4 linked regions of the Drosophila melanogaster genome follow. The protein of the gene in region 1 interacts with the protein of each later gene in a biochemical or structural test. Each region holds a gene or a part of one and is shown in the gene's direction. Other genes may lie near its edges.

The links.
Region 2: the proteins of Rbp (region 1) and brp form a complex in vitro, tested with the Drosophila melanogaster proteins (one study listed by BioGRID).
Region 3: the proteins of Rbp (region 1) and Aplip1 are reported together in a solved structure, tested with the Drosophila melanogaster proteins (one study listed by BioGRID).
Region 4: the proteins of Rbp (region 1) and Rim form a complex in vitro, tested with the Drosophila melanogaster proteins (one study listed by BioGRID).

Annotation. Positions count from the first base shown.
Region 1 is NT_033777.3:15,372,642-15,378,006, forward strand, and holds the start of Rbp (RIM-binding protein), read left to right. Parts: upstream 1-1,993; 5' UTR 1,994-2,220; coding exon 2,221-2,327; exon of another isoform or gene 2,328-3,036; intron 3,037-5,365. Other genes in the region: Ccm3 (cerebral cavernous malformation 3), read left to right, coding at 1-122, 208-372, 745-829.
Region 2 is NT_033778.4:9,502,024-9,507,333, forward strand, and holds the start of brp (bruchpilot), read left to right. Parts: upstream 1-1,741; 5' UTR 1,742-1,822; intron 1,823-2,980; 5' UTR 2,981-3,445; intron 3,446-5,310. Other genes in the region: Wnt2 (Wnt oncogene analog 2), read left to right, coding at 1-233, 299-486, 704-1,016.
Region 3 is NT_037436.4:1,194,410-1,200,042, forward strand, and holds Aplip1 (APPL-interacting protein 1), read left to right. Parts: upstream 1-1,907; 5' UTR 1,908-2,133; coding exon 2,134-2,246; intron 2,247-2,527; coding exon 2,528-2,904; intron 2,905-3,099; coding exon 3,100-3,821; intron 3,822-3,889; coding exon 3,890-4,077; intron 4,078-4,145; coding exon 4,146-4,218; 3' UTR 4,219-4,930; downstream 4,931-5,633. Other genes in the region: LysX (lysozyme X), read right to left, coding at 458-886. UniProt on the Drosophila melanogaster protein: The JNK-interacting protein (JIP) group of scaffold proteins selectively mediates JNK signaling by aggregating specific components of the MAPK cascade to form a functional JNK signaling module.
Region 4 is NT_033777.3:17,913,174-17,918,471, reverse strand, and holds the start of Rim (Rab3 interacting molecule), read left to right. Parts: upstream 1-1,893; 5' UTR 1,894-2,333; intron 2,334-3,307; 5' UTR 3,308-3,518; intron 3,519-5,298.

The DNA of each region.
Region 1 (5,365 bases):
CGCTTGACGCGCACGGAGGAGCCCTTCCAGGAGCTCAATCGTAAGTCCGTGGCTCTCAAGGTGATCCTCAGCCGCATACCCGATGAGATAAACGACAGGAAGACCTTCCTGGAGACCATCAAGTAAGTAAAAACTCAAAATGAAGCTAAAACTCACTGCATAAGCTTAACTGATTAATGAATAATGAAATTTTACTGCGTTTTACAGGGAAATCGCCAGCGCCATAAAGAAACTACTCGATGTGGTCAACGAGATCGGCTCGTTTATACCTGGCGTAACGGGCAAGCAGGCTGTGGAGCAGCGTAAGAAGGAGTTCGTCAAATATTCCAAGAAGTTCAGCACAACGCTGAAGGAGTACTTCAAAGAAGGACAGTAAGTATTAAGAATCACCTGCAGTGATTATTTACTATATGTGTTATCAAACGATACGCTGCGACGCCATGACAGCCGGTTTCTTTAAATCGGCTCATATCTGGTTTCTTATCGTTTCGGGCCAACCGTTGAGATGATGTCATTCCATTGGCATTCCGGGTATTGTTTGGTTTATCATTTTGCGCCGGAGATTCTGAGGGGCGGATATTAAGCCGGACCCCCGCCCATTTTAAATTGTAAATTGCTTCGATTACGTACTAATGGCTATTACCGCTGACCTTTTCATGAAATTGGGGCCAAATTGCATTACTAATTCAAATTGCTTCAGCAAGGATTTTCTAACCGATTCTCTTTTATTTTATCTATTTTCAGACCGAATGCAGTATTCATAAGTGCACTTTTTCTAATACGGCAAACGAATCAAATAATGCTGACAGTTAAGAGTAAATGCGAGTAGAGAATTAAATCCTTTAATTATGGCAAATTAATTAATTAGTGGCATTTTAATTTTATGTTTAAATAACCATTTAACATACCAAGACCGAAACAAATCAAATAAACTCAACACACTTAAATACAAAATCGCCCGACGCAGTCCAAGTTAAATGTTTGAACGTAAATGAAAATCTGTTGTAACTAAATAAATAGGCCTAATTTATATCGTATATACATATGTATTACACATACTCGGACACAAAATTTTGCGAAGCCTAAGCATTGTAATTAACTAGTGAGCAACTATTTATGGAGACGGACGATGTGTGCGAGAGTTTATTTTTCGTTTACAATTTATTGTAAATAATTCATTCTTTTTCTGTTAACAAACAACATCGGCTAGTTTGTTTTTGTTTAGGAGAAGCGCCTACGAATAAATTTAAAATTAGTGGAAAAAAAACGAGAAACAGGAAATGTATGTACTACGGGGAGATGACAAACAAAAACATTAACGGAACACTTAAATTTTTAACTGTTTTTAATTGTTAGAGTTTGAAATTTAAACACTATACATAATAATCTTTTACTTAATGATATGTTCTATTTGAAAACTGCGAAAGCGAAAGACATTAGTGGCCGACAGCACTATCAACAGGATGGAGAAAAAATTATTTTAATTAATAAAATGTTATATGAAAATCGAACACTAAGCAAAAGTAAAAGAACGGCAACAAACTCATAATGTAGACATAGCGAAAAGAAAACGACAAATAAATGTATTTATATTCCAAAATTGAAAAGAGTGTTTCATATTTAACCAATTTACGTAAAATTACTTTATAATTTATAGTATTAGGTGTGGTATGATGTGGAAATAATTGTTTTATATTACCCGAGAATTGATTTCGAAAATCAGAGATTGGTAAACTGAAATCAAAATCTCAGATTTACACGCACATGTCGTTAACAGAGGACAGCGCTGTTAACGGATAACAGCCAAAAGTAATAGTAAACCCCCAATAACAGGCCCTGAGCAGAAATTTACCCAGTTGCAACCCCAAAGGAGTCCTTCTGAGAGCGGGAGAGAATTGCCCGTTTTTCAGTGTCATTTGGCAGAAAAATCGATTCCCCGCACACTGAATAGTGGGCACTGGGTACTGAGTGCTCGGCTCTGGGTTCTCTGGGCCACTCTGCTCTGGCACACTGAGCACCGAGCTGGCAGTTGGGTAGAAATCAGAGTGCGCCAGCAGCGCGACCGAGATGACCCACTTTTCGGTATTCGCACTGAGACCCAACTGCTACTACCCACAGAAAGTGGACAACTAGGCGGAGTTTTTTTCTATATAGTAGCAGTGAAACGATCGCGTTTTTCGGATATATTATGTACAGCCTACGTAGCCTAGTGTAAACTATATGCATTTATGTGAATTTCCCAGCGCAAACGTGGAAGAGGAAAACAGGCGACCTGAAAAAGCAGCAGCAGCAGCAAGCAAGAAGCAGAAGCACAAGCAGCAAAAAAGGTTCGCAACCCGTTCAAAAGCCCCCGAATACAAAATATTACAAAAAGTTAACCCAAAAAGAAAGGATAAAATCCTGTGCTTCCGAAAACGAAAACCGCAGTTTAAGCAAAAAGTGTCAAAATCGCGTGGTAAATACTTATTTTGCGCAAGCTGAAAAAAAGAGCTGTTATGCGAGCGAGCGAGCTCACGAAAAATTTCGCTGTACACCAAATGTTTGCCCAACAGCACCGCTGCTGCGTGAAAATTTCATTTTCTCGCCAATAACGTGAAAAAGCTCGCCGCGAGTGCAGTTAAAAAATCCAGTGAAAGATATAATGATTCCGGGAAAATGGTGGGACAGTGAAAAGTAAAAGTGTAAGCATATCGATAAAGGCAAAAAAAAAAAAAAAATACGAAAAAGAGCAGCCAGCGTAAAACTACACTCTCCCACACACACTCACATGCATACATATATCCAAACATATACATATACATACTCGCCCACATGCTGATGCATATACAATATGCAAATGCGGGTAATCACTGTAAAACCGAGGCAGGCGAAATGGTGAATGAAACCGAAATTATAGAAAAATGCCTAAATAAAATCGGAGAAATTGGCTAAAAGCAGAGTTCAGCTACATTTTGGCACAAAAAAGCGCGCACCCACACACACTCACGCATACACCCGCCACACACATACAGAGAAAGCGAAAAGAGCGAGAGGCATGTAAGTAAAGTAGATGTAAATGGCCAACGAAACTGGAGCAGCACCAATACCACTGCAAGTGCCACAACGGCAGGAGCAGCATGTGTGTGTGAGCGTTTCATATTCATAAGCTTCCAGCAGCACCAGCAGCAGCAGCAGCAGAAAAGTCCCACTTTTTGGGTTCGCACTCTGGGGGCGGTTTTCACTTCACACTTGTCCCACAGCCTGCGCAACAACAATGTTAAAGTTGTTTGCTGCTGCGTGCGTAACACACATACTACATACAGTGTACACCCACCACACACGTTCGTGTGTATGTACGTATGCATGTACATATGCATACATATATATGTACACTAAAGGTATCTACAGCGTGCATGCGGTTACCGTTACCTTCTCTGGAGCGGTGTTTTAATACCCGTAACAGCACTTTCCACCGATTGAATGCTTTCACGTATTTCGTATATATTTATAGCCCACTGTACTCAGTTTCCACTGCAATGATCGAAAGTCACGCGTCGATGGCCTGGTACACGTTGCGGATACTTAATACAACATTATCACAACCTAGACGGGCTTATTATGAAAAGAAAGTCTTCATAGCTTCCTTCTATAAATATGTAGTTTTTTCTGTAGATGAATTAAAACATAATTGGCCAAATTTAAATTAACATGTTGCATATGTATTTAATACATGAAGAACTCAAATGTGCAACTATTCAATTGAATTTTCCTTTAAGCCAACAGAAAGATCCCCCGTGTTGAAAAATATAAAGAACGGCTTGAAAAGAAAAGCCATTATGATTTTATTGGATTTTTCCGAGCAGGATTAATCGTTGAGTTTGGCCAATTTTGACAGATGGCAATCATTCAATAATTTATATGCTGGGCTGCCAGCCAAACTGCGACCATGAGATGTCCACAGGCGGGGATCCCCCTGCTTCTCTCCGAACCACTTCCCATTTCCCGGTTTGGCGGTTTGGTTTTCCACCCCATAACTGTGCTATGGTTTTTTTCTATAGTATTTCAGCGCCAGAAGCGACGAAATTCGTGGGTCTGTGTGTGTGCCTGTGTGTGAGCAGCTTGTTATAAATAGGCAAGATAGTTTTTGTGCTCGTGTTCTGGTTCGCTTTTTTCCTTGGCTCTGCGATTGAGGTCATGCCAGCAGCAGGATAATGAACTTTTCCCAACATCTTAAATGTAATTGTAATTGTAATTGCTCGACTTTAAAAAGTTTCTGCTCGCAGTGTTATTTTTAGGACTTGCCACTCGTCATATTCTCGAGCACATTGTCGACTATTTATGCATGTAATTGTTGGCAATGGCTGTTGGCCCCTGCCTTCGTCGGCTATAATTGCTGCAATTAGAAGCACTTGATTGTTATGGCCCAAGTGTGTGAGCATTCAATTAATTGAACGACAGCTCATTAGGGCATCGAAGAGCAGACAATGGTGCTTTAAAACTTTCACCGACCTTTGCTGGAGAATATGTAAATATTAGCTTGGTATGGCCAACTTTTTGCATTTTTCGTGAGTTTGCCAAGGCAACCGATTCCGGATGCTAATTAATTGCCTTTCTTTGCAAACTTGTCTGTCAACACACAAGGTGGAAATTGCCATTTTGCAGTTGCAACTTTTGTTCTCCCGCTTTTTTTTCTTGGTTTTCTGGGCACTTCATTTCAAAGTAAATCAAAGTTGCTGCGCGCCAAAAACCAAAAACGCAACAAAGTTTTTAAATTAGTTTGTCGAAGTTTGGGGCCAACAAAGTTGGCAGGAATATTTCGTTTCATTTCTTTGTGGCGTTTTTTTCCAACCACGAATAGTCAACGAATATTGTTTTAATTACGACTTTTTGTATATTTCACTAGACAGTCGCCTTGCAGTTGTAAATGATATTACGCATACGGCACGTTGTGCGGAAATAAAGATACTGTGCTGGCAGAGGTTACCTTCCCAATTCCCTGCTTTCTCCCTGTTAGATAACGTGCCTCAGTTCCGAGTGAATGGGAATTTTCCATTTAATTTACTCCGATGGCCGCAACGACTTTGGCCAGAATGTGGGTTAATAGAGTGTAAAGCATAGCCAGGCCGCAACCCAGTTTTGGGTGGCTTGGTTGGTTCCATCGGACCTCCGAAGAGGCTGCCTGGTGCGCAGTCTGAGGCTCCGGCTAATCTGCACTTTAAGAACTCATTAAAATTTCAAGCCCCCTCACAACACCACCAGACATCGATGCCACCTCCTCCTTAAAGAACGCACTGAGACCAGAGGTTAAATGTTTAATTGCTAACTAGATCGCTTTGCTTACTGACAGCACTTTAAGTAAATAATTGCCAAGGATTTCAGTTTAAAA
Region 2 (5,310 bases), on another chromosome or scaffold:
ACGCGGTGACCGCCGCCTGTGCCCGCGGCAACATCTCCACCTGCGGCTGTGATGTGCGGCACAAAGCCACGCCCACTGGCGGCGGTACGCCCGACGAGCCCTGGAAGTGGGGCGGCTGCTCGGCGGACGTGGACTTTGGGATGCGGTATGCGCGCAGATTCATGGATGCCCGCGAATTGGAGCGCGACTCCCGCACGCTGATGAACCTGCACAATAACCGAGCAGGGAGAACGGTGCGCATGCATAAAATTTAATAATAAATATGGCCTAGTTAATAGTTATGTTTTTCTCTTATCAGCTGGTCAAGAAGATGCTGCGCACGGACTGCAAGTGCCATGGCGTCAGTGGCTCCTGCGTGATGAAGACCTGCTGGAAGAGCCTGCCGCCCTTTCGACTGGTTGGCGATAGACTCATGCTGAAGTATCAAAAAGCCAAAACTGTTCAAGCCGTCAAAGGCAAACGTGGACTGAGATTAGTATTAAGCAGGTGAGAAATGGGAATCTTGCAAGATGTTGCATGATATGTAGGCAATAATCTAATGGCTAAATAAGTATTCTTCTAAAAAGAATAAAACACATAGTAGTCATTAAGTCCTTTTTAAATGCAATATGTTTGCTGTGCCTTCTGTAGCACGGTATAATATCAACACATTTTCGATCCCACATATTAACACATACCTCTTTCCACTTTTAATTTCTTGCAGAAAGAAGCATGCCGGCACCGCTCGTGCCCAGAAACCGGTCCTCGATTGGCCGAAGCGCATGGAGCTGATCTACCTGGAGGCGTCGCCCAACTACTGCGAGCGAAGTCTGCAGACGGGCAGCCAGGGCACCTCAGGTCGGACCTGCCAGCGGACCGGCCACGGCCCCCAGAGCTGCGATCTGCTCTGCTGTGGGCGTGGCCACAACACGCAGCACATTCGAAGGACCACGCAGTGCCGCTGCCAATTCCGCTGGTGCTGCGAGGTCAAGTGTGACGAGTGCGACGAGAGCTACGAGGAGTTCACCTGTAAATAGACGGGTAGCGGGAGCATATCGCTAGAACTAGGGCTATGTCATAGGAAATGCGTTGATTAAGTATTATGAGAAATGTATTACAACCGCAGATACGCACCGCGCCACCATACAGACACATTCCAGAATAAACGTAACAAGTTAACATCCCCAACGAATACTGTCTTATTATTAAGTTCGTATAATTCAAATAAGTATTTAAGTTTTCTTAGAAAAGAACCTTCTGCAAAAAAGCTAATCTAGGTGAGCTGATACATTCAGTCTGCTGTTTCAGATTTCTTATTCCTTAAAAATAGTTTCCAAAATAATGAAATCCAAATCTTTAAGAATCTATAATCTGTTCTTATAGAAAACTGTTCCTAAAACCAACGAGTTCATAGTCTAATTTTGAGGGCGGTTTGAATAGTTGGCGCGCAGCATTGCCAACGCTGAATGTGGAGCAATACGTAAGACCCACATTCGTTTAGCGTAACGCAATGCGCTGGCTCCATATTTTGGTATTGGAATTCCGGAATCCATTAAGCTGGCAGCTCGAGATGCCAGCACTCACTGAACTGCGCGAGCGCCGAAAGGAAAATTCATTGATTGCAATCGCGCGCTCTCCGGCTAGCTCTCCCTATGCCTAGGCCAGGAGGAAAGCAGAGGGTGGTCGGTAAGGAAAAGTTGGAAAACTCACCACTTGCCAGCGAATCGGCGACTATATTAGCAACTGGCTTGCACGAGCCGTGCTCAGTTCTTTGAGGGTAGTTAGTTGGACAACGGCGTTGCCGAAAACGGGCCACCTCAGCTGCCGCACAATACATTTTTGGGTTAGGAACACACATAGACACGAATACCAATACACTCCCGCATGCACACACACATACACACACGCGCAGTATATGTATCTGGCCGAGAAATGTATAAGGCCAAGAAAAGTCCAACTTAATTGCATTCGCAGCGGAGAAAAGTGAAAGAATAGCGCGAGAAAATTCCATTGACTGGCGAAAAGTGCTTCGATCAAATGCATAAAGTCCCCGTTAGTGTGTGTGTATGTGTGCGAGTGAGTGAGTGTGCGTGAATGGCAGCACTAGCGCTAGAGGCTGCTCCCTGGATACAGAAAAGTGATTTCCTGCAAAAAGTGCGAAAAAAGCGAGTTAAAAGCAAATCGAGCTGGCCAAAAAGCCGCCTATAGCGCTCAAAATCGTGTGACAAACTCAAGGAACCATTTCACACACACCCTTTATACGTATATATATATACAAATGTGCATTTGTGTATAGTATATCAGTGTGAAAGACCAACGTACAAACACACACTGTCAATCAAAAGGAGTCATCTGTCCCACTAAACGCTGCCTATCGATTGGGGCGAAAGCAAAAAAAAATTATTATAAATTGCTTCAACCTACATATAAGCCATGCGAGTTATACACACACACTCGCATTCGCACACCCACAAAACCGCACTCACACACACACACACACACATACGCATACGCCTACAAAGAGACATTAAGTTTGAAAAGCTATAAGCTGTATAACAGAGCCTAGAGCCGAGCGAATGAAGTGACGGAAGGTGGGGTGCCAGCATAATGTTGAGCCACCCAAACCACCCGCTCAGCTCCACCGCCCCTCGCCCCTCGCCACACGCCACTCCCCCCACAATCCCCTTTCGTTACGTCGAACCTTACGTTGTTCGTGAGCGTAACTCGTGCGTAGAACACTCTCCACTCCATTTTGCGGAGCACTCTTCAACTCCCTATCTCTCCGTATCGCTGTGTTTGCTGTGCCTGTGTGTGTGTGTGTGTGTGTGTGTTGGGCTCGAATGTGTGTCAGCGGGAACGAGTGTAAAAAATATCCTCGTTGGGCACGAAGCCACCAAACCACTTGGAAAAATAAATGAAACACAAAAAAACCCACTCAGTGAATGAAGACTTTAATTAGTTTAGCTGGAAACTCACGCGGTTTAATTATCCTCCCACACAGCCATGTACATAAAACAAAAGCCGTTTAAATCATAAACACAAAATGCAATTAGCCAGCGAGCGCACGCCACGAAAGTCAACAAACTAACTAAGCCAGTGTCATCAACTAAATTAGTGCAAGCAGCTAGCCGACCGGAACCGGAAATGCCCATTGAGCCGCCTGACAACAACCACAAACACAATCACAATCGCAGTCACCAGCACCATTGCATTGGCAACGGCCATAAAGACGAGCAACAAATCGCCCACACACACATGTAGTTGCAGCGCGAGTGCGTCAGTGTGTGCGGGCTCTGAAAACCGGAAGCGGAAGTCGAGGAGCAGCAGCAGGAGCAGGAGCAGGAGCAAGAGGATTAAACGAACGAGGAGGTGCAGTAGCAGGAGCAGCAGCTAGCTTAGCCAGTTTTTCATTCGCCCGCAGTTCGTTAAGGAAAATCATTCAAAATTCATCGCCTAAGCAAAGCGGGTGAGCTATTTAACCGTATTACGTATACGTAACGACACCCACACTGACACTGAGATACACACACATAAACGCACACACAACCAAAGAAACACGGCAAAAACTTCAATTTGTGATGTGAACCATAAGCGATATTGATTTCTGATTTGTGCGTATGCCTTGTGTAACAGGAGCCGCCATAATTTAATCGTAATCAGTTATAAGTAATCTGTTTTTGTGCCTGCCTTTGTTCTCTCTGTGTAACTTCTTTATCTCCTGTACGTATCTGTTGTGATTTCTTTCTTGTGATTTTACCGATGAATATGTCCAGCTGAATATAAAATACGATCCCCGATTATCTAGACCTAGTTGCAGTCCTAGAACGTAGTCGAGTAACTTAGTTTAGCGAGTAATTTTAGTCTGTTCTCCATGCATTACCCATACGCCCCGTTCAATCAATCAATCATCCGGAGATTGGCAAGCAATTTGAAAACTTATAATTAGATATGTGGATGGTGCCTTGTGGGGCAGGCTCGACGCATTCGATTTGCTCGCATGATTTGTCAGTTTTTTGTTCAGCTTTTTTGGGGGCCGGCCCAATCACCTCCTTTGCGTGTCAATGATGCGGTGTTTGCCTTTATTATTTACTTCTTTCGGCTGTTATTTGAGTTGCTTGCTCTAATTTTAGATCAGCCGAATAACTTTTATTGATTTCAAATTTCAACCTTATTTTACATGTGGTCTGAGTCAGTGTCTGTGTGTGTCTGTTGTGAGAGTCAGTGTGTGTGCGGGCGAAGAAAACGCCGCCAATCCATATATTGGGGCAGTGGTAACAACAAAATACGGCAAATATTTTACGATGACGCTATTGTTGTGAGCGGGAGCGAATGGAGAAAGCAGCCAGAGGAACGGAGAAAGGCGAGAGGAGAAAGGGAAGTGCGCTGGTGAGATGGCACGCATTTGCGCACTAGCCTCCCAGTGTGGTGAGTTCTCTCTCCGGCTTTCTCCGGGGACGCCTCTCGTTTTTTCGGAAGCTATTCAACATGTTTGTTTTGGGGTGGAGGCCCCCGGAGCAGATAGCCTGATAAGATGGCCTCCGGACGGACAACAATCGTAGTGGCTTCCAGTTTCAGCTTCAGCTCCAGGTCCCCCAAGTATGCAGCTAGAAGTGCAATCCGTCTCCCGCTCTCCGCATCTACATACATCTGGCAGTATGGCAGTATATATCTGGATATGTTTGCCCAGCAAAGTGCACTGCCTGGGGCTCCCTAATGGCATGGCGATGTAATCGAATCTGGGCCTGATATTTTATGGCCTGTCTGCCATATCCTGACCTCATCTGCTGCGCTTCCTCCATCTTTTTATGTCCCCATTCTCCCTGCCGCACACATAGAGCATCCACATCCACAGAATCAAGCTGAGGCTTCCTTTCCACGGCTTTTGGCTGTGTGAATGGGCTTCCGGCCTGCTGATTCATTTAGCATTCATTTGAGCCGCTGCAGCTGTCGCACCGCTGCCGTTGATATCTGCACTCTTGGCCCATTCACATCATTCACAGCAGCCGAAGGTTCAACATTTCGTCTTATCACCAGGTCGCATTGTTTATGCGGGCGCCTTAATTACAACCTGCTATTCATGACATTCAAATACAAAGTCTACAAAGTAAACACGATGATTTGAGGTCATCAGAATCAAAATACTAAAGCCAATTATTAGCCACGAAAATATTGAATTTATTCATTTTGTTCTTATTTAAAATTAATACCCAATAATATTTTTGAAACGATTTAAGTTATTTAAGCTATAGTAAAGCAGAGAACATTATGAGTGCGTTACGTTATATACTTATTTATAAGTTTATTTGATTTTAAATTGAGACCAAAAGATGA
Region 3 (5,633 bases), on another chromosome or scaffold:
TTAGACATCTAATTTGAATGGGGGTCTAAACTGTGACTCGGTTTTAATTCGGGAATTGGAAAGGGTAATTTGATCAACACTTAAGAAACAACATTTACATGTGTCTGCTTTAAGAACGTACTTTTTAAGATTTTAGAGTGTTTCTGAACTATTTGTTTTTTTTTATATATTTATAGTATATAGTATAGTATATATAGTATACAGTACATAGTAATTACCTTTCTATATATTATGAATTCGTTGAAAAATTGCAATGACTAATTTTGTTCGCTGTCGCTTATCTTTGATTTATTTGTCCGCACATTTCTTTGTTTAATTACAAATGTCGTACCAGATATTTACTTTTATTTATGTATATATCGTGAATCAACGTATCAAAAAGTATAAACGTATAAAAAGTGTTTATTAGATTGCAAAACAATTACATTTTGAAATGTCCATGGTTAAGAGACTTGAATTAAACAAAGCAATCATCGATCGGGGGCAGGTATCCACTGCAGTAGTGCCAGGTGGACCAGGCTGACCAGCCCTGTTGACCCAGGACCTTTAGGGCACATCTTACGGAACTTTTGATGTCATCGGTCAAGAGAGCGTTGCAACTCACATCGCAGCCATTGTGGGAGAACTTTCCACTGGACGGCTGGCACCAGTACATGTCGTTGATCTGGAAAATGCCATAGTCGTTGGATCCATCGGTGTTGGGAGGCCCCACCACTCCGGTGCGGTAGGAGCTCTCGTGCTCTGCAATGCACGCCCACTTGGACAACTGGTCACGAGAAACACCCATATTGGCCATCTCGCGCGCCAGTGAGCAGCGATCCATGGTGCGACCCAGGACAGCTGGAGTGACTAGTGCCAGGACACAGATTCCTAGGAGGGCTCTCATGGCGAATTGGTTGGATGTCGATGAAGTACTGCGTGGCTAAAGACTGTTCATTCTTTTATACCCGGGGAAATAAAAAAAATCTGATTAAAGATAAGAACTATATTCTATACAAAGAAGAAACCAGCGGTTCTTATTATTGAGGGTATTCAACTAAATCTGGGCTTTCTGGGCACACCTCACAGACTGGATGATGTCGTCTTTGAGCATGTCGTTGCAGCTCGTGTGGCAACCGTTGTGTGAGAACTTTGAACATTGGACCGGATCACCTGAGTTAGTGGTAAGAAAATTTCTTAGGAAAATTATAGGTACCTTTAGATTGTCTGATTTGACTAGGCAACAGAAAAATGCATATCTTGTAGGTAAGTTATGGCAGACTGACGATTTCCATTTCCCCATTTACATTTATCAGTTGGGGTGGCGATTACATCTCCTATCGTATCTTATAATATAAAATAATATAATATAATATAATATATTATAATATAATATATTATAATATAATATATTATAATATAATATAATATAATTGCTGTTTTAGATAGATAATGACCAACCTTATTCATAATTTTATAATTTTCTAAATTAATTGATAGATAGTTTTTGTACTTTTAAAATTAATTAAATAATTTTCGAAATTGCATTTTGTGAAATGAAGACTGATTCGTTCGTACACATTTACTATAAAAATATATGCCCGATAAGAAATCCCCAGCCGGGGGAAATCCCCATTTTCTAGATCCGCCCCTGGCTGTTCGTGCCAAAGCGCAACAGCATTGCAATTCGCAAGTCACCACCATTGGAAACGGGGAGCGGAAGTGACTCACTGCGCAGGCGCGCTTCCTGTCAACCCCCAGGACAGAGTGAATGCCGCTGACCCCCCAACCTTTGCCCTGCCAGCGGTAAACAAAAACAAGTTTGGCTTACCAGCGAGAGAGAGAGAGAGAAATAAAGAGAGAGCTTGCGGATGACAGCTGAAAGTCCCGAATTTCCCTGGCTTGGGCCTCCACTATTTCTGATTTGGCACCACTCACATCTGGAATTCAGACGGGGGCACGCCAGCAACGTCAAGGAAATTATCGATTTTCGCATGTGAAGTGAAAAAAGTGACTCCGTTGGCAAAAAACTGTAGCGCGAGCAGGACTCCAGTGAAAATCTAACCAAAAGCAGTTCACACGGACTAACTAAAAGCCCCAGCTAGCCTGTAGTGGAGGGCGTGGCAGCTGGTCGGACCCTGGTCCCCAAACGACATGGCCGACAGCGAATTCGAGGAGTTCCACAGGCCCATATTTGAGCCACATACGATTGCTGGATTCGGATCAGGAGCAGGCAGCAAGAAGAATAATCCACATGCATTTTACTCGTAAGTTGAAAGGTGAAAGGCTGTGGTAAGAAGCAATCTGGCGAAGCTTGCTGTAGCCAAGACGTGTGCACGTGTCCTGAAGAGCACCCCTTGAAACTGGTTGGGTATCCTTGAAGGGAACTGTTCGCAACAGAAATCACAAAAGTCACTGATGGAACTGTTTAAAAGTATGCAACGAATTGTGTGCATGCCTTTGGACATTCTTATGAATTATTCCAAACTCGCTGTGATTTCTGTGCGATGGCATGAGTTCAGTTTCATCAGTAAAGCCCTTTTCACAGCTTAATTCCCAACGATGACCTGGAGGACTCGCACTCCTCGAAGAGCGATGGCGACGGTTCGGATCAGGAGGATGGCATTGGTCTTGTGGATCACGAGCCCAAGATGCGTCAAGTGGAGGACGATGAGCTGGGCGACGGGCTGAAAGTCACTCTGTCCTCGGACGGCTCGCTGGACACCAACGACTCGTTTAATTCGCACCGACATCATCCGTTGAACCACCAGGATGCGATTGGTGGCTTCCTGGGCATGGACACCAGTGGATTGGGTGGCAATAGTGCACCTGTGACCATTGGAGCCAGCACAGATCTGCTGGCACCCAATACAGCTGCCACGCGACGTCGTCGCAAGTTGCCGGAAATACCGAAAAACAAGAAATGTAAGTTTATTGAAAACTTAGTTCCTGGCTAGAGTATCCTGCATGCAAGTAGTTTCAGGGGCTATGCCGGTTTTCAAAACTAGTATTTGGTTTTCCACAACACATCTATTCGTCATATCCTATTTTGGGAGCCGGATAGTCCTTCTTAACATCCCTTCGTAGTTTCGGGCTAACCCACTCATGGCCTCGTTGCAGCTTCCATTCTGCATCTTCTAGGTGGCTCCAACTTTGGCTCCCTGGCGGATGAGTTCCGCAACGGTGGTGGTGGAGGAATCCCTCCAGCAGTTCGCAGTGGACAACAGCGCTCATTTCTGTCCCTCAAATGCGGCTACTTGATGGACGAGGACTCCAGTCCGGATTCGGAAAGGATGCAGAGTCTGGGCGACGTGGACAGTGGTCACAGCACGGCGCATTCGCCCAACGACTTTAAGAGCATGTCGCCGCAGATCACGTCTCCCGTTTCGCAGTCCCCCTTTCCGCCTCCCTTTGGGGGCGTGCCCTTTGGCCAGCTGGAGATGCTGGAGGCCACTCACCGTGGTCTGCACAAGTTTGTGCCGCGGCACCACGACGAGATCGAGCTGGAGATCGGCGACGCCATCTACGTGCAAAAGGAGGCCGAGGACCTGTGGTGCGAGGGTGTGAATCTCCGCACCGGAAGGCAGGGCATCTTCCCCTCGGCCTACGCCGTGGACCTGGACTACAACGAGTTCGATCCCACAGTGCAGCTGGTGAAGAAGGAGCGCTATCTGCTGGGCTACCTCGGATCCGTGGAGACGCTGGCGCACAAGGGCACCGGAGTCGTTTGCCAGGCGGTGCGCAAGATTGTCGGGGAGTACGGCAACTCACCGACCGGACAGACGTGCATCCTGGAGGTTTCCGACCAGGGACTTCGCATGGTGGATCGATCGGGCCCGAATGTGAGTAGGATACATACATATATACATCTTCATTAATAACCGATATAAAAACCGATTTCGTGAAACAGCAAAACAAAAAGGACAAGAAACCTTGCATCGACTACTTCTACTCCCTGAAGAACGTCTCCTTCTGCGCATTTCACCCTCGCGATCACCGCTTCATTGGCTTCATCACCAAACATCCCACGGTTCAGCGGTTCGCCTGCCACGTCTTCAAGGGCTCGGAGTCGACCAGACCGGTGGCCGAGGCAGTGGGGTGAGTCCTCAAGCAGTCATCCCCCCAAAACAAACGCTCGAATAACATGTTAACACTCCTTCTTTCAGCCGTGCTTTCCAGCGATTCTATCAGAAATTCATTGAAACCGCTTATCCCATCGAGGACATCTACATTGAGTAGGCTTGCAAGGCGGTTTGTGCATTAATCAATACGATATATTTTTTGTGCGGTTATTACGAATAAAAGCAAAGATAAGTCTCAAGAATATTTGCTCTTCTTCAAAGAGAATCTCAAAGCAAAATCAATAAGCTCGCAATAGAAACCCTAGCTATAGATTATTATCATTTATCCGTTTTGAACAAATGTGCAAGATCTTAGACATGTAAATAGTTAGTTAACTTTCGTTCAAAATCCCCACTTCACACTCACACTCACACTGAGCTTCAAGCAATCAGCAATAGTTGCCCCCTCTATAGGAACCGCCTTTAAACTCGAGTTCACTGGATATATGGACAGAAGCAAAAGAACACCTTGAACACCTTGAATTTTGTATCGGGAGTCAGTTGGGTCAGTTGGGTCTATTGTAAATCGGAGATAAGCAATTTGGATTGGTTATAGATATCCAGACCCTCCTGTAACCACATCCTTAACCTGGCAATGCACAAAATAGAGTGAGGCCAAAGTAATTTAGCGATCTTCGTGTAACCTTAGTTTAGTTATGCCAATCTTTCAGTTACCAGAGACTCAACAATATCGAACACCAGCTGCTACGTTTTGAAGTATTCTCAATTAAAGCCCAGTATAAGATGTGTAAACCTTTAAAGTTGTGTACACGCAGGCGAATATATACTGTATATGTATACAAAAGAAATATATAAAGAACCTATAAATCAAACTATATTGGATTATTGGGTGCTCAAGGAAGAAAGGTGAGTTTTATTAGTAAGAGAATGTAAGCCCTTTCATCTTATATTGTAGAACTTACCCAAAAGTATGCACTTAAGCTCAATTTATAGCAAGTTGATAGAATCCCGAAATGATGGTAGATAATATTTAGCAGCCTAAAAGATAACTTATAATTTGTAAAGTAAATTATTTTACACATAAAACATGTGAGTTTATCTCTCGCGGGAAATGAATTGGTGATTTGCATAAAATTACACGACAAGACAAGATAATACTAATCGGCTATATGAAGGCAATGGCCAATTGCAGTTTAGTTTTAAGATTAACTTGTGATGACTTGTTTTGAGCGGGCCATGGAATGGAATGATGGCCCAGAAGTTCCCATTCGGATTCCACATTAGTTTTATTTCACCGCACATTTACCAATGCGGATCTACGCCGGAAAAAGAAACAATCGCACATTAATGAAAACGCCCAGGGAGTGGAGAATAAATGGCCGAGCCATTAAAATGGCGATACATCAGTTAGCCTGGGGGCATCAATCATTATGCAATTTTCGCGAAGCCGGCCAGCAGCTTTGGGCCACTTTCTTCGGAGGTGGTTCAGTGAACGGGTTGTGGCGGTGGGCCTGGTCGGATCTGCCTTTGGGCAAAGTGCTCTAACAGGAGCAGCGACTAAGACTAACTAGT
Region 4 (5,298 bases), 2.5 Mb from region 1:
CTTCGAGAAAGCCCCCTTTGCAGTCTCTCTCTCTCTCTCTTTAATTGCGCATTTCGACTTTTCTTGGATGACATCTGTTGGCCTTCCTGCCCTGCGTCCTAGCCCAAGTATGTTTTCTTCTTGTTTTTTCTTTTTTTTTTTTGGTTAAAATGAAAATCAATAAAAAGCTCAATGACGTCAGCCGCCCAGACACACACACAAACGCACACACACGCACACTTACAAAGTAAGCGGCAACATCGGAAAATGCTGGCGGCCAAATACAGCTCCTGGCACTCCCAGACTCCACCTGCCACTCCCCCCGCCCACGTAGCTTGCTCTCATCTCCGCCGGAAATCCAATCGCTCCCCTTCGTGTGCCAGTGTGTGTGTGTGCCGGCGACTGTGCGAGTGTTGCGGGTGTGCGAGTGTTGCGAGCCGAAGACACTGCACGTGAGCAGGCTATCAGCAATGGAATAAGAGTTTCGACAGCCAGAAACGCGTTTATCTTTCTGTTTTCAGCTGTCATACGCTGAGAACAAATTTGTAGTTGAATTAAGACAAACTAAAGTAATATTCTATTAATTAAATGGTTTTTAGTATTATAATAAAAATATTTTTAATTTGTACCTAGATCAATTCCCAAACTAAAACTATTGTTATATGGGACTTTGATAGTTAAACTACAAATAAGATACTGCAGATATTTGTTCGATATATTTAATAACTATGCATTGATTCGTATGCATATTAGTAATATTACTTATTTATTTCTCTGTAACTCTGCCAAAGGCATCCAAAGTAAAGGAAATGCACTGGTGAAGGAAGGCTGGCCTGGAGTGGCTGTGACAATTTACGCCAAATCTCATGATGGCTGCGATAAGCTGACAGATAAAAGCGATAACAGCGACGACAACTCAAGCCAATTGAGAAATATGCAACAGAAGTGTACAAATTTTTGTGGGCTTTGAGTGTTGGATATTTTTGACAAGCACGTGATGTGTTAAGGTCAAAAGTTGGGCATCCAAAAATAGATTTGGCTCAAATGGATTTAAAGCAGATCTAAGCAAGCGAAATCATTTTAAAGGAAATTGCTAAAGTTTTAGAAGAAATAAATATAAATGAAATTACAACTAAGTATAAGTATATATAATGATTTCTAGCATAAAAACTATAATATATTTCTGTATTTCGCAGCTTGTTAACCTATTCAAGTTTATTGCAATTTTAAGCTCGATTGAGCTGCCAAATCTTTTCAATAATATTCGCTGAGAAGGGATCATTTCCCTGCCCCTCGAAGTATGCAATAAAGAGCGATTCGTTCCAAATTGGCGCTGCTGCTGCAAGAACATCCCCAAATGCAATGAAAAACTGTTTTTCTTTTCTTTTTTTTTTTGGCAACAGCAAGCAAGGGGAGGAAGTGAACAGTGAACATATTTCCATAAACACACACGCCCCCCATTGGATGAGGAGTTGAATTTTATGAATATGCAACACGATGTTGTTGCTTAATGTTTGCGCAAAACAACCATATGAGCATGTAATGCCCAAAGGGGGCGGGTATTTGGGGGTGTGTGGTGAAAGTTGGAGTCACACACTCGGCAGTTAGTTTGTAGTAGGTGTTAAAATTGCACATGAAATATGAAAAGCCACTCATAACACTGAGAGAAACATGTGCTCCCACTTGCCTGGTTAACAACTCCCTGGTCAATTCACCACGCGAACGACAGGCAGTGTGTGTGAGAGAGAGAGAGAGAGAGAGTCCCTTTTCATGAGAGAATCCGAGTGATACGGGGATAGCGAGAGAGAAATTCCTGAACTGCTGACGACAATCGAAGCGAATTCCTGATGTAGGTGGGCCATATCGTGGGCTCTATAGCTTTTCCAGCTCCAGCTGCGGGTCCAGTTTTCAGTCGTTGTCGTGCCGTCGTGATGTCGTTGCCGTCGTCGCATCCGTCGTCGTTGTCGTTGTTGTTGTCGCCGCACTCCATCTAGTTGTTGTTGGTGCAGCAGGCAGTACAGCAACAGCAACAAAATCACACACCAGCAGAAAGCAGCAACATCAGGCTTTAAGCGCCAGCGAACAACAATTAAACAAGCGAAAATTGCAGCAACAAAAAAAACGAAATGAGCTCGCTAAACGGAAAATTCATTTGCGCATATGGAATGCTGCACACATAGTTATATACATATATATATATAGCCACACATACAAGCATATATATATAGATATATACGTATATGTTATACACACACAAATCTACATAAAATCTAAGTGCAAACCAATTGTGATTTAAGCTAATGACCACAAACGCAAAACAGCTCCAACAACCTACAAGAAAGTGTATAAAAAATGTAAGAAAATTCTGCATTTTTCATTGGTCTCCACGACAAAATTTGATTCGTTCACTTTTTTTTCCAACTTTTTTCCGCCGTTCGTGAGCTGGTTGCTTTTTTTCTGTACACACAACGCCACGCAATCCCACCCAAAAACTCGCCTCTCTCCGCTCTCTTCTCTCCTCGACTTCTCGCCTCTGTGCTCCTTTGTTGTGTTGGCCGTGATCCTTTTGGCCAGGATTCGGTGCGGATGAACGCATTAAATATGCAGAAAAATAAACTAACACACACTCAAGGAGGTCTACCGCAGTTAACGACTGTCCTTCATCCTTGAGTTTTGTAATTATAATTTGAAATATAGAAGATTTCATTGACACTGTCAATTGCTTTGATAGGTCATAAATTTAAAACAATTTCATATGGAAAAAAATTACTATTAATGTGGATGAAAAGTCAGGGGAGAGCGACAGTTAACGAGAGAGAAAGTTCACCACACACAATCAAAACTAAAGAATGTTAGCCAAAACAATTATGACAAAAACTATTCTAGTAACTAAACTTTCTCCATTCAATTTAAAATGCCTCGAAATTTTAATTCAAATCGGAGTAAATATTTTTTTATGTACAACAGTGCGTATGATTAACTTGGCTAACCCGCGTTGGCCTTTGGCCTCCGTTCAGTGTGTGGTGAAACCCAGTATTGCCACAAAAACGTCCCAGTATTTCCTGCCAGCTGCAGTGTGCTCTCTCAGTCGCTCACTCGCGCGCTCTCGCTCTTTTATTTCCCCAATGTGCGCGTCTGTGTGTGTGAGTGTTACAACAATAGTGGCAGCATGCAACATAATTACAACTCAACTTCAACTTTACACTTAGACGACAAGCGAAGCTCGCTAGAGAAACAACAAATGTCGAGCGCCGCTGAAGTGTTTAACAAAAATAAGGAATACACATAAGTGATTAAAATCCATAATTAATGTCTTTCTACCGAACAGTTTTCAAGTTTTTTAAGTATATGAAATTCAACCAAAGCCTTGTAAATAGCCAACAAAATACCTAAAGAACAAGAACGCTTTTATTATTAAAAACAAAACAACAACAGCAAATAAAACCAAATTAATTAACTCAACTAAGGAAAGCCATAAACAACAAACAACGAACGAATAGACAACGCCGTTTACACAGCAACCTGATAGAGAAATGCATGTAAGTTAAACTAAAACAAAAAAAAAAAAGGGTATTTCGAGTTGTACCGAATGACTAGTCTTATGTACTGCAAAGTCAACGAATCAACGAAGCAACAACATCAACAGTTGCCCCAGACAATGACGAACAATGGCCGAGAAATTGCCACAGCATATAAAGCAAACTTAGTCCCTGTGTTCTCTCTGTTGTGTGCAGTTTACTTCTCTTTTGTGGCTGTTACTGCTCTGTTTACTGGGCAATAATGAATAGTAAATGTGGGTGGTGGGTGGTGGGTGGTGGGCGGTGGGTGTTGGGTGTTCGGTAGTGGGTGGTCCTTCGATGGGCGTTAAATTTAATTAAAAGGTAAACTAGTAGCAGACAGCAACAGGCAGTCAGTTGGAATCGATTTTCCTTTTCACTCGATTCACTTGGCAAATGGCGAACGTCACTAGGCAACAACAAAACGAATTGCAGGAATGGGATCGTATCGGATGAGATGGAATGGGTTGTGGATGGGTATTTTGCCCTACAGACAAATGATGGTAATGACGACACACAAGCACCCACACACACACACACACACACACACTAGAGCACTAATACACTCGCCAAAATGGACGTCATAAATGTTTGACAATGCACACGGGGCGTATGAGTAATGGCAGTGAGCCCACAATTGGTAAGGGGCTTTGTTGTTTGGATACAAGTGGGCGTGGATGTGTGGGCGTTCTGTTGGCTGGTTGGACATCGCTGAAACAACTATCTATTGACACTGTATCCCCCACTCATTTTCTCCTCCCCCACCCTCCCATGTAACCAACATTTTGTGGGGGTCAATGGGTGCATGAAATTGCTTTTTATGCTTCGCTGTCGTCGCTCGCCCTTCTCCCACTTTCACCCCCTTGGCCACGTCCATTGAACATATTCAATGCGCCTTGTTGGGCCAACTTTTAGCTACGTTATACCCTATATTACACCCTCCCGTTGACAGGTTTTGTCGCTTGCATTTGTTCGCCGTTAATTGCATGGAAATTGTGCGCGCAATTGAAAAAGTTGAACAAGCCAAACGACAAAGTGGCATTGTTCCAGCTCGCCTTTTCCGGGAAAGCCCACAGATATCCTTTTCGACCCAGTCAATGACTTGTGTTCGCTGGCCGGTGCTGCAACTATGAATGAATAAGTGCAATTATGGGCTCTAGGACCATGAATCAAACGAAAGGCGGCTAGCCGCGACTGTAGAATGGTCATTAGTCAGCAGGCTGGTCGGTAAAAAAAAAAAAACCCATAAGACGTTCCATTTGGCAGGCAGCCGCAAAAAGTCACCAAGTCATTGCCTCGTTTATAGTTTTTGGCTGCAGCAACAACTAGCGTGGCAACTTGGCCACGTTTTCTTTTATGGCTCTATTGGAGTGCATAAGTGTGCGTGTTTATTTGTTTGTGTCCTGCGAGTACTACAATAGTGCAGTGCATTGCACCCGTTGGCTCGAAATGGCTGGCGCCATGAAAATTCGCTCGCCAATTCAGTTATCTGCATAAATTTCGAGCGATCTCCATGGGCGGCGTGACGTCACGGAGACTGAAATACATACATATACTGCTCGATAAGGAAACCCCCCGTTGACAGGTGATGTCAGTTGATAAATGACCCAGTTCATAAACGAGCAACCAGTTGAAGCTTCGCCCTTTCAGTTGGTCAACTAAATGCAAAACTATGAAACGTGTCTCGCAGGGTTTTAATTTAGTGTAAAATTTAAGGAGTTGGAATTGTTTTTACGGGAATTAGATGGTAGGAATGCAATGC